Linked DNA regions of Caenorhabditis elegans. The protein of the gene in region 1 interacts with the protein of each later gene in a biochemical or structural test. Each region holds a gene or a part of one and is shown on either strand. Other genes may lie near its edges.

Region 1 (4,372 bases):
AAAAGACACGGTTCTTGGAGAGGTCAGTTGGTCTAAAATCTATTTTCAAATTATAATATTGGTGAAACCTGAATTCAAAACTTTTTTCATCTTTTAAAATTTTGCAAATATCATTTCTAAACTCCAATATGTTTTAGATTGAACTTTGTTAAAATTTTGGTAAATTACCACAACTTCAGCTTTTCAAAAAATAATTCGAAAAATTTCGCTGGTATTCAGTTTTGAACCAGTTGAGCTTGAAAAAACACTAGCTGAAATGAAATAGTTGTCGCAGATTAAATGTTTAACTTGTAAGGTAGCTGGTAACATTCCACCAGAAGATAAGGATGGGCTCTATTATTTTATTATCACCTTGTTTGTTATGTCCACATTTGCATCAACTATTTTGACTGGAGTTTTCTTGGCTCTTTCTGTGATCCTTTGGAGCCATTTCAAAAAAGTAATGAAACACGTTTTACATAACTTTTTCCAAGGAATTTATTGAAAAAATTCAGATGATATTTTTCTGGTTTTTAACTCAACTGACCATTTCTGTTTTCATAATGTCTTCTTTAAACTTTTTAATTAATGTACCAGCGACATTATTTGCTTTGATAACCAAGGAATTCGTTCAATCCGGTAACTTTTTTTGAATCAATTTTGAATCATTTTTTTTGTTCAGCCTCATTCTACTACATGTCCAATGTAATCGATTTCTGTCATAATGCAATACTTTTCTCAAACTTGATAATTGCAATACATCGGATGTTTGTGTTCTTTTTCAAAAAACACACGGATATTGCTTTTGAAAAGTAGGGAATTCTGAAATTTTTGGAATTTTAATCTACTAATCCCAGACCGATAACATACTTTTGGATGGGAATGGTATGGGTATTGTCTGCTTTTGTTGTAGTGTCTATGATTATGAATAACTGCCAATATGAATATGATGAACGAATTTTAATGAAACATTATGTTTTGAGTTGTGAAACTAGTAGTGGAATTAAAAATATTGCTCCACCGACAATTGTACAAACTGTAAGCACAATAATGAAAATATCCAGTCCAATAAACACTTTCAGATTGAAATTTTAATACAATTTATTCTTCCAATATTTATTCTGGGAATATATATTGCAATTATCATTAAAATAATTTTAATGAAAAAAGCAGCACTCAACAAATACGAGCTCACTATTTTGAAACAGGCGGTTTTTATATTTTGCCTATTTCAGGTCCTGTTTGATTTAAGAACGAAAAAATGAAAAAAAAAATTTCCAGATTTCATCGTCGGTTTTCCTATTATGCCAAACTATCAAGTTTGAAATAGCAACTGCATTTTTGATAAAACGGATTATTAATACGGTTCGTTTTTTTTTTAATTTTTCCATAGCAATCTTGAAAAATTATCCGTATTGCAGACTGAAATATGCGCTGGAGCTGCAACGCCGTGCTTCTTCTTTTTCACTTCAAAAGAAATTCGGAAACTCGTTTCTGTGAGAGTTTCTCTCACTACTTCACAAGCCAATTCAAACTCACAGCAGAGAAGGCAAACTTCGAGAGCGATTTAATTTTTATTACTAAAATCAGTTTCTAAAATGTTTTTGCCAATATTAGAATAAATACTCGTGTTTTAATGAGAACAAACTCTTCGCAAAAAATTTCTGTGCCTGCCAAATCATATTTACTGCTACAGTAACTTTCAAAGGTGCAATACGTCAGCGGTGAGGGTCTCGACGCGATCTTGAGAATTGCCGCAATCAGTGCGGGGCTGCTTGAATTCGAGGTTTCGATTTTCTGGTTTTTTTTTTCATTTTTCGAATTCAGTTCGGATATTTTTTGTTTTAAGACAAATATAAAGCATTTAAAAAGTTTATGCTTTGTAAAGTGCAGTTAAACTTCAATTAATTCATAATTATTTTAATTGAAACAACTTTCTCGCTCTTGAAAATATTGCATTGTTTCTTAATTTCCAAATTACAATTCCGCACAGGCTTTTTTCATTCAATTTCTTTCTAAACTTCCAGATCTACTCGGTATGGCGTTGCGACACACCATCTCACCGCAGTTTTCGAATCGCCACAGTCCTCCAGTTACCCGTTCTGTATCTCGAACAGGAGTTCATCAGCCGCTAGACACATCTACTCCAGTTACTCGGCGAGATTCCCAACCTGGAACGATTACAGGCACCATTCAGAGATTTCATGAGTCGGCTGACGATTCTGAAATTGATCTGAACTCTTCGAAATTTATTTACAAGGAGCATTTTAGCTACAAAGAAATCACTTCGATGAAGAAGGAAATGTGGTATGACTGGCTGGAATATCGCATTCGCATGGTTCGGCGTCGTTTTGTTCCAACGTGGGCCCAGTTTAAACGTACTCTTATGGCTGTTGTTCTTTTTGCTATGTTATACAAGTGTGAGTCGGGAAAACGTGTTGTGGGTATCTAAATGAATAATTTCAGATGCTCGTGATTGTTTATTCGATGGAACGCATCATAATTCAGAAGGATCCTACGCGGATAAAGACGCGAATTGGGCGTCCGAAAAACAGAAATTTCATCAGACGGTACAATGAATGAACAGTCAGAATAAATTTTTATATTATTTAGATTTCCAATCTCCGAGCAGAGTTTTCGGCGCACGATAAACAACTCGATTTCAAAACTGACCATTTGGAAAAACTACTGGAAAACGTTTTGGAACACAGCAAAGGATGGAAAGAGTCGGCAATCGAAGAGCTCAAACAGATCAAATTATGGCAAGCAGAAATTAGCGATGCTTTGCAACAAATGAAAAAGGAAATCGATGATGCGGTAATTTTCAAATTTAATATATTTTCCCAATGCTAATTTTTCAGAAAAGCACAAAGATCATCCACAGTACACCAGAAAAGGCTCCAGAGACCGCACCAACTGCATCGCTTCCTCCCTCTAGCCAGCTTCAACCAATGCACATAACACGCCGAGCACTTCTTGGAGTGAATGTTGCCAACAGTCTTATTGGTGCATCAATCGATCATTCTTGTTCATCACGTCCAGTTTCTGCAAAAGATGGATTTTTCTACGATTTCATGTCATACTTCGGAACGTTCCAGGAGGGATATGCTTTGCTTGATCGCGACGTTCTATCCCCAGGAGAAGCGTGGTGCACATACGATAAACGTGCGACCTTGACCGTGAAGCTCGCTAGATTTGTCATACCGAAAAGTGTCTCGTATCAACATGTCAGATGGAGCGGGATTGTTCCAAATCATGCCCCGAAGCTCTACGATGTCGTGGTAAGCTATATAAAAATTGTGTTCAGTAACTAATTATATATTTTCAGGCATGCACGGACTCATGTTGCACCAAATGGCAGCCTCTTGTCGCCAACTGTGAATATAAGGAACGTGATGGAAGTTATGACGAGCAAGAACAATTCTGTTCGGTGCCAACAATTCAAAATCACTCACCGATCAATCACGTGCAATTCCGTTTCCGCGAAAATCATGGAGATATGCCAAAGACATGTGCTTATTTGATTCGTGTTTACGGGGAACCAGTCGATCCACCAAAGGAAACGCAACCAATGACGGATAATGGAACTGAATCAAAGTTGGAATCTGCAATTGTTAACTCTGTATCAGAAACCGCATAGAAACGCCGTATTATTGTTCCTGCCCAACTTGTTTTTATATCATTTTCACGTTCCCCACTGACTATGAATCTCAATATTGCTTCTTTGAAATCGTTTGCAAATGTTTTGTCCCGCTTTACTATCCACGTTACCGTTTGTATTTCATTGCTTTATTCATTTTTTATTAATGTGTCATGTTCTGTTTATTTCTTGAAAGTTCTAATCTAAAGTTTCAAAGTTTTAAATTGTGTTCTGAATTTTAAGCACGAGAGCAGCAGGGAAGTGGTGATTACAAGAGAAAACTTCGCATCTGCTAACTAGGGAATGGTGTTACCCCTGCAATCGCTAGGAGGACAAAACAAACTTTAAATGACAGATGAGGTCTTTGGCTACAAAAATCATTTTTTGGAATCTGCTTAACTCTGCCCCAAAGCTGAAATTTTCGGCCTTAAAAAGTAGTCCTCTTTTTGCTCAAAGTGCCGTTTTCGTTTTTTTGAATTTTTCCTCTAGCATGAAATATGCACAAAAACACGGTTTCTTTCGTTTTTTGGTAACTTCGGAATAAATTTTTTGGTTCCTGGGAATCATAAAAGTAATTTGGAAACTTTTTGGAAGTTTTCTTTTTTTGATAAATTTTCACTTTTTTCCCACCTGATATATGCACATTTTTTTTCTTCAAAAATAATTTTTCAAAATTTTTTCAAAAAGTGTTTGGTTTGAAAGAGCAGCATTAGTTTGGATATTTCTACGATTTTGGAGGATCAAATGTCATTT
Region 2 (3,465 bases), on another chromosome or scaffold:
TCTCCGCAGGCAGCAACGACTTGAACCTGAAAATCAAAATTTTCAGATTCAAAAGGTGGATGTCGAAATAATTACCAAGACGCTTCCTTCGTCTTTCTCGAGAGCCTCACGGATAGTGTTTCCCAAGTCTCCTTCTGGCATTTTGAGATCGTCTTTGAGCTCGCAAGATTCTGGATCCATGAGCGAGCAGAACCCGTCTTCGATCGACATGAGCTGAAAATTTGATCAATAACATTTTTTACAGCTGATTAACTCATTTTTCAAAAGATTTGTTTAACCGTCCAAAGTTGATTTTTTTGAAAGCCTTCTTAAAAACTAATTAACAACTTACAATGTACTCGCGTCTCTTGACGACTGGGACGTCCATGTTGTGGGTGGATGGGCAGATATCCTCAAGCTTCTTGGTGGTGAAAATATCGATGGCAACCATGTGAACCTTAGCATGTCCGTGCTTTCCAGTCTTGGAGGTGCTCATCTCGACGATCTAAAAAATTTCTAATTAGGAAAATTCACTGAATTATTTTTTACCTTGCATGGTCTTCCTCGGATCATGACGTGCTCGTTCTTGCGAAGAGCCGAGCATTGCTTCGGGAAAGTAGCAGCAGCTCCGGACTCGGCAGAGTCGAATTGCTCCTCGTCGTGATGATCTTCGGACATACTGCAACAAAGATTTATCAATTATTTTAGCATTTTCAACTAGTTTCCAACGAGAAATTCAAAAAATAAATTTGGAAAAAAAGGTTTGCAGGAAAAAATTGTTTTGATTGAGAAATTTGATGCATTTCTAATAAAATATTGATCTTAGCAAGAAAAACACTGTACAAACCTGAGAAAAGTATAGAAATCGAGAGAAAATCAAATGCGCGAATTTTTTTGAAAGGACGTTGTTTGGCTGCGTATCACAATGAAGAATGAGTCGCTACGCAGCCAAAAATTTGGCGCCAACTTCCATCTTCAGACAGAATCGAAGTCCTCACTTTTTTAGGATTTCAAGGAATCTGCTCTATTTTTTGATTTATCTGAATAAATAATTTCCTAAAAATGCATTCGTTGCTTACTTGCCAAATTTCGCTTTCATCATGTAAAATTAAATAATAAAAATTACCTCTCTATGGTCTTCGGGGCAGCAACTCTCGCCATCCACCCTCCGAAGCCAAGATTACGATTTTTCTTTGAAACTCTGTTTAGTTTTGTTGGAAGCCTCATAAAGTAGAACAAATCAAGTTTATGATTATTTTGAGTAGTTATTTTTATATTTTCCGGCCTGTATTTATTCTCTTTTCTGCACAGTTTTGCGTTAAATTTTATCATATGAATGCAATGTTTCACAACAATCCTTCTCAGCGCGTACTCTCCTTTTCGGAATAAATTGTCATCAAAGGTGCATGCCTTTTCACTAAGCAATGGTCTCGCACCGACTGTCCCCCCTTTTCGGCGGCAGTGGAAATGATTCAAAATTACACGCTTACGCCTTTTCTATCGTTGTATTACAATTGTTCTGACAAAATTCATTTCCAATTTTAGTTATGGATCCTATTCGCGAAGGAGAAGTGGCCCACGAGGGAGATTCGGTTTACACACTCAACGATTTCACGAAGCTCGAAAAAATCGGCGAAGGAACATACGGAGTCGTCTACAAAGGCAAAAACAGAAGAACCAATGCCATGGTTGCTATGAAGAAAATCAGATTGGAAAGTGAAGATGAGGTATTTGAATTTTGTAGCAGTTTCGTTTTTTCAAACAATAATTCTTATAGGGTGTTCCATCAACGGCTGTGCGAGAGATCAGCTTGCTCAAAGAGCTCCAGCATCCGAATGTTGTTGGATTGGAAGCGGTCATTATGCAGGAGAACCGGCTTTTCCTGATCTTCGAATTCCTGTCTTTCGACTTGAAACGATACATGGATCAGTTGGGAAAAGATGAATACCTTCCGCTCGAAACTCTTAAAAGTTACACATTCCAAGTGAGGAAATATTTAAAATCGATGTCTTTACAAGAATAATTGTTCCAGATTCTTCAAGCTATGTGTTTTTGTCATCAGCGTCGTGTTATTCATCGCGATCTTAAGCCACAGAACTTGCTGGTCGACAACAATGGAGCAATCAAGCTTGCCGATTTCGGACTTGCCAGAGCTATTGGTATCCCGATTCGCGTTTACACGCATGAAGTGAGTTTGCATTCATTCTGTACACCAATACAATGATTGTCCGGTTTTCAGGTTGTCACTCTCTGGTATAGAGCTCCAGAAATTCTGATGGGTGCTCAGAGATACTCGATGGGCGTAGACATGTGGTCGATTGGATGCATTTTTGCTGAAATGGCCACGAAGAAGCCACTGTTTCAAGGAGATTCAGAAATTGATGAGCTGTTCCGCATCTTCAGAGTTCTCGGCACACCGACTGAGTTGGAATGGAATGGTGTTGAATCACTTCCGGACTACAAGGCGACGTTCCCAAAATGGCGTGAGAATTTCCTCCGTGACAAGTTCTACGACAAGAAGACTGGAAAGCACCTTTTGGACGATACTGCATTCTCTCTTCTTGAAGTAAGATTTCTAAAATAGTACTTTAACAAGTAAAATAATATTTTCAGGGTTTGCTGATCTACGATCCATCACTTCGTCTCAACGCGAAAAAAGCTCTCGTTCATCCTTATTTTGACAACATGGATACGTCAAAGCTGCCAGCTGGAAATTACCGAGGAGAACTCGAACTCTTTTGATGTAATTCATTCATCATCATTTTTATTATTTATTCTCCCGTGCTTTAACCACCTATCGTCTTCCGTGTATTGTTTAACTATCACCATTTCAACTTTTTACCTGTACGATGATTATTTGGCCCTTCGATATTCATGAGTAATCTCTTTTTTCACACCGCGATAAATAAATTCGCTCTACTTTCATGCTCTTTTTTATTCAAGCACTTTGTTCAACGTGTAAATGAGAATAGGGAATTAAGAATTCATTATTATTATTTTTCCATTCTGAAGAATGATCGCTGCAGTGATTCCAATATTCGTAATTTCTCTGTCTAACATTTCGCACGTAAGCTAAGGTAACGAAAACTAATCTAACTGGAGCTATTAAGATTATTCTTGCAATTTTCTTCTTCCCATCGATTGTAGAATTCCTCGATGATCTTTACTGGGGATTCACTTATCGTTCGTGGTCTCCAATTGCACGTCAATTAGAATTGGGACCGGTAGGATATATCCCTATATATAGGATTAAATACAATTTAGAGAATAAATCAAAATAATTGTGTTTAGAACATTTACATTCATCACTCGAAGGTTTCTATTTTGATGGACAAAGCTGATCTTTATGAGAAGAATCAGTCTAGGAAAGATATTTTAAACTATTACCGGGAAGGTATTGTTTAATATTTATTCATTCTCTCGAATATCTGAAATTTCAGAAGACAAGGATTTTGAGCAGTATTTGAATTTTAGAGAAAATCGAAA
Region 3 (4,905 bases), on another chromosome or scaffold:
TCGAAAATTTCAATAAATAAAATAAGCTTCTTGCTTCAAACCTACTATTCGATCAGTAACCTCAGTTTATTTCTCATTTATCAGTTTTACTGTATGTCGGAATGAGATACCGTAACAATTCTCTTTGATGATTTCCCATAAAAATGTCCATCTCATTTTACATTTCGACAATTGGACAACGCCAGCAAACTAATCGCAAATGTTTGACTTTTCCACAGCCGCTTTGACAAAAGGGGTGTGAAAAAGGCGTATTAATTCTGAGATTTTACGAGTTTTCGAATCGAGGCTTGTTTAGATTTACAGTTTTTGAACTAAACGGGCTTATTTTTGTCAAGAAATTCGAACCAATTACCGTATTCAATACGTTCTCCTCTATTATTGTGTGATGCAATGACCTCACTTAACCGACTGTCATGTGCTCATTTGAGCTCAATAGTGAATAGATTCGAAAAGAAAAACAGTTGGCTTAATCGGTACTTGCATATCCTAATTATATGTCATAACCATCTTAGAAATGTATGGAATAAACCTAAAAAAATAGACGATAGACGAGTTGTAAAGAAAGAAAAGAAATATTTCATGTTTTTGAAGTTAAATAAACGAAATACACTTTGAAATTTTAATGAGCGACACCGATCGGTAAGTTGGAAGAAACATCATTGGAAGACAGGGAGTTTGATTGATGCTTTTGTTGCAAATGGTTAAAAACGAGCTATTTTACATTTTGACGGTGAGCTCAATGAATTCAAAAAAATGGAAATTGGATCTAGTCTTAGGGAAAGGTGTGTTCTTGGAAAGAGGGCAGTGAAATTTCGAGATTTCCTTAAAACAAAATTATTGCCATATTCTAGTATATTAACAACAAGAACACGGTTAAAACGTAGGAGGGACAGAGAAAAAGAAGAGGATCAGTGTAACTCTCGAGGACAACACAACAAGAAGGAATATTAGGAAGAGATAGATGTAAAAATGAGGTCCAAATGGATTGATGTAATATCGACTCTCAATTACATGATGGAACAACGATCGGCTGGGTCCGATGGATCCGATGATTCGCTGAATTCAACGGTGATAGAAGAAACAGTGTCTCCTTCACTATCCTCAAGACGAGCTGATGGGTTATCTCCAATTGGCCACTGAAAATTGTAATTACAATGAACATTTTTTGTTTCTTCTATTCATGAAAGTAAGACAGAAATATTTTAAAATAATTGACCAACCTGTTGCTTCTTCATAACGTAGACTTCTGGTGGGTGGTGAACGGCACCAGCATCCGCAGACCAAACGGTGGCGCTAGCATGTGGAGCGAGCTTCATACGAGATGAAAATTGGAAGGAGGCTTCTTTGTTTCCAGCTTTGACCACCAACTTGTATCCTCCGATGGATTGTTCTTCTTCAGAGTTGTTTGCAACACGGACCCACTTTCCTTCCTCATCAACCTCGTCGATTCCAACTGGGCCAACAGTCTCTTTGTTGAGTTTGGAGCGACGGTTGAGATAATCAATGTCTTGGTCCTCTCCATTTACATCGACAACGCGACGACGCTTCACTCCGCGCTGAGCGCTTGCTCCTCCGGATGAAAACGAGACGTGATGAACTGAAGTGTTTTGTGGCGCCTCCTGAGTAAGATTGAGACGCTCCTCCTCACCCTCAAGGAGAGCTTGGTAGGTCTTGAGTTCGGCGTCCAATTGGATTTTAACATCAAGAAGATCGTGGAACTCGCTCATCATGCGCTCGATCTCTTGATTAAGTTCAGCAATTCGAGCATCCTTGTCGTCGAGCTTCTCTTGGAACGATCTCTTCAGAGTGTCGAGCTCTGAACGAAGACGTTCGATGAGCGAAGCATTTCCACTGCTTGATGTCTCCAAGTCACGAACACGGGCACGAAGATGGATTGCTTCGGATACAGCCTCCTCTTGGCGTTCACGAGCAGCATTGAGCTTGTTTTTGTAGGCATCTTCGAAAGCTGTTTTGTTTTGATGCAAATTGTTCTTGAACTGAGCACGCATCTCTTCGATTTGATCTTGAAGCTTAGATTGATACTCATCATTAATCTGCTTGGCGTAGGTTGTCATGTCGACCTGTCTCTTGTGACGAACTTCTTCAAGTTCTCCCTTGTGCTGTTGAAGAGCAAAAGCGAGATCTTCTTCCAGAGCCTTGATTTTATTGTTGGCGGCTGTTCGGAGAAGAGTTTCATCTTCAACGGCTTTCTTGAGTCCTTCTACGGTGTCACGAAGAGTGATGTTCTGCTTTTTGAGATCCTGAAAACAACAAAATTGAACATTTACTTTTGATAAAATTAAAATTTCTTACATCATTCTCCACCACCAATTTATCGTTGCGTGCCTGCAACGTCTTCTGTTTTGCTTGACTTTGATCAGCAATAGATTGGGCATGGAGGGCTTGTTCCTCAGCTCCAGCGAGTTCTCTCTCAAGTTTTTCGACTTGTGGCTTCAACTTCTTTACTTCAACCTTTGCAGCGTCATACTCGATCCTGTATTTTGCGAGCTCATCTTGAGCCGAATCGAGGGCACGACGGAGACGAGCCTGAAAATACAAATAATCTATATTCCAACACTTATCATTCGTCCAAAACGAGAGCTTATATTTGCATTGTTACTTTACCGCGGCGAGAATAATAAGACCACCGCATCAGTTTCCCACAGAACACCTTTGGCGATCAGAATATAAACAAAGTGTACCTTTTCCGCCTCGAAGCGATCGGCCAAGTTTGACTTCTCTTTCTTTTCAACAACTTCGATGTCGCGAATTTGAACCTGGAGTCTGTTGTTCTCTTGCTCCAATTGACGAACTTTCTGAAAAGTGTACTTTCAAATATGAATACTTTCCAAATTAAAACTCACGTCGATGTAAGTGGCAAGACGACTGTTGAGTGAAGTCAAATGATCTTTCTCTTGAAGACGTGAAGTTTCTAGAAGCGTTGAGCCACTGAAAAGCATTTCATCGAGTTTTTTTTTAGATAACACAAGAAATGCGTTTATGAGTGCAGGAACTAGAGAAGCAAAATAAAAACTCACAATGAATCGTCGCCTCCTCCATTGTTGCTTAGCGACGAATTCGCTGAGCGCTCTAGCGTAACAATACGAGAACTACGAGTACCTTTACGAGATGACATTTTTCTCGCTGCTTTCTGAAGAGTTAATTATATTGGATTTAGTTTCAGAAATAGACAAAGAGAGATGTAAGAGAAGAGAGGAAACGTCATAGGCGCCACACGAACGTGACTCAACATTTTGATATTTCTTGTGATAAAATTTTTATACAACAAAAGTTTTCTGTCTCAAAAGAAGTGTGGCAAACATGCGGACACGGCCGTTGTGTATACCACTTCGGAAAGCGTGTGTTTGTCGAAAAATCTGGCGCTGTTAGGTTATTTGCGAGTTACGGCGCGCCAAGTGACCTCAAAATCGGCAGATGGCAGTATTCCACATAGATGTGTGTTGTTTCGTTTTTTAAATGTTTCAACAGAAAGAAATATAGTAGAGAAATAAGGAACATTTGTGAGAGTGACGTAAACAAAAGCATAAACATAGTCAGTAAGTAGCGTTGAATTCAAACATTAGGCAACTCGGCAAAGAACTACAATTGTCAAGGTATACTCAACTAAGATTTACCTCGTTTCAATAGTTTTTTGAAACTCTCGTGAATAAGAATGCTTTAGCAGGGCGTTATCACCTCGCCTTCAAAAATCATCTGCGCACTTCCACAAATTGCCGATAGAACTAGGCAGATGGGACTGAAATGATTAGAGAAAAAGAGAGAAAAGGGAATTTCTCGCATACTTGTTTGGTTTTGATTGACCGTCCATGTCGCGTCAATTTGAAAGTAACAAAATTTCGAAAATTTAGGGAGAATTTCGAAATTCGATCAATCAAAACTTTCGGACTACTACAAAAGAGAAATGACCTGATAAACTATAAGATAGGATATCAAATTACACAAATTAGTGTAAAAAAGTTGCATGAGAGGTGATATGTAGGAGTTTCGAGGGTTCAAAAACGATGAAAAACGCTCGATCTTGTTTCGAAGGGCAATGGCCCAGGCCAATGCTCTCTCTTTAGTCGCGCGAGTGAGCGCTGCGTACCCCTTCATCTCTGATCTCTCCCGTTTCGCGCACTATTTTCAAGTTTTTCTTTCGTTTTTTATGCTCACGGTCCCAATGACTAGAGAAGTAGAGAAGCAGGAAAGACGTGTGCATATGGTAAACAACATACATATACACAACTTGGCAACATGCCAGTACAGGGTTAAATAGAACGAATAATGGAGAGGCATGATGAGAGTATTAGAGAAGTGGTCAAACATCTGAAATTTTGAGGTTTTGCCGCTTTTTTATATGGATAGTGTAAATTTTGAAACTCGGCGATTAACAATAAACATGTACCATTGAAAGACATATTCAGAGCCAGATGAAGGAAGCGAGAAATCATAAGCAGTCTTGTGTGAGAGAAGACAATGTCGTTCTTCTTTGGTGTTTGACACAGAATGAATGAATTCTAGAGAAGGAGGCTGAGAAGAGAAGGAAACAACATCTGGAAAGAGCACTAGAGCGTCGACGCACAGAGACAAAGGGCAATAAATCAATGGGAGAGTGTCATTTTGGCGCGTTGACAGTTTTTATCTCATTTGATGTGACCATGTGGTAGAATATTAGTATAGCACGAAAATTAGAAGCTAAATTTCTATTATGAAGGCGAGATTAGCCGCGAGAGAGAAGTTTGGTGAAATGAAAAGAATACGAAATGAAAGAGTAGGAAAACAATTTTCTCTAGACACCTGCATCTCTAAAACACATTTGATCCCTAAAAAGATTGAAATGAAAAAACAAGAGAATCGATTAAATGTGAGAGGAACTTGGGCAAAACATGTCTCTTGGTAATATGC

What was found. Proteins that work in one complex are often made in the same cells at the same time.
Region 2: of the proteins of sun-1 (region 1) and cdk-1, one has a biochemical effect on the other in vitro, tested with the Caenorhabditis elegans proteins (one study listed by BioGRID).
Region 3: the proteins of sun-1 (region 1) and lmn-1 form a complex in vitro, tested with the Caenorhabditis elegans proteins (one study listed by BioGRID).

What each region holds. Positions count from the first base shown.
Region 1 is NC_003283.11:13,191,173-13,195,544, reverse strand, and holds sun-1 (Sun domain-containing protein 1), read left to right. Parts: upstream 1-2,006; 5' UTR 2,007-2,017; coding exon 2,018-2,399; intron 2,400-2,445; coding exon 2,446-2,549; intron 2,550-2,592; coding exon 2,593-2,796; intron 2,797-2,840; coding exon 2,841-3,260; intron 3,261-3,307; coding exon 3,308-3,619; 3' UTR 3,620-3,843; downstream 3,844-4,372. Other genes in the region: F57B1.1 (G-protein coupled receptors family 1 profile domain-containing protein), read left to right, coding at 1-22, 296-439, 495-618, 662-791, 837-1,017, 1,062-1,214, 1,261-1,344, 1,401-1,550. UniProt on the Caenorhabditis elegans protein: Involved in centrosome attachment to the nucleus. Required for zyg-12 localization to the nuclear envelope. Together with pot-1, it is required to anchor telomeres to the nuclear envelope in embryos.
Region 2 is NC_003281.10:9,745,948-9,749,412, forward strand, and holds cdk-1 (Cyclin-dependent kinase 1), read left to right. Parts: upstream 1-1,524; 5' UTR 1,525-1,526; coding exon 1,527-1,706; intron 1,707-1,756; coding exon 1,757-1,963; intron 1,964-2,011; coding exon 2,012-2,167; intron 2,168-2,218; coding exon 2,219-2,545; intron 2,546-2,592; coding exon 2,593-2,721; 3' UTR 2,722-2,905; downstream 2,906-3,465. Other genes in the region: iff-1 (Eukaryotic translation initiation factor 5A-1), read right to left, coding at 1-26, 76-213, 332-484, 529-658, 1,106-1,206; T05G5.4 (uncharacterized protein), read left to right, coding at 2,993-3,046, 3,090-3,203, 3,271-3,373, 3,420-3,465. UniProt on the Caenorhabditis elegans protein: Plays a key role in the control of the eukaryotic cell cycle. Required for entry into S-phase and mitosis. Acts as a component of the kinase complex that phosphorylates the repetitive C-terminus of RNA polymerase II.
Region 3 is NC_003279.8:8,761,287-8,766,191, reverse strand, and holds lmn-1 (Lamin-1), read right to left. Parts: upstream 3,152-4,905; 5' UTR 3,137-3,151; coding exon 3,039-3,136; intron 2,950-3,038; coding exon 2,865-2,949; intron 2,817-2,864; coding exon 2,703-2,816; intron 2,548-2,702; coding exon 2,314-2,547; intron 2,262-2,313; coding exon 1,221-2,261; intron 1,137-1,220; coding exon 1,008-1,136; 3' UTR 561-1,007; downstream 1-560. UniProt on the Caenorhabditis elegans protein: Major component of the nuclear lamina, a fibrous layer on the nucleoplasmic side of the inner nuclear membrane. Provides a framework for the nuclear envelope and probably also interacts with chromatin.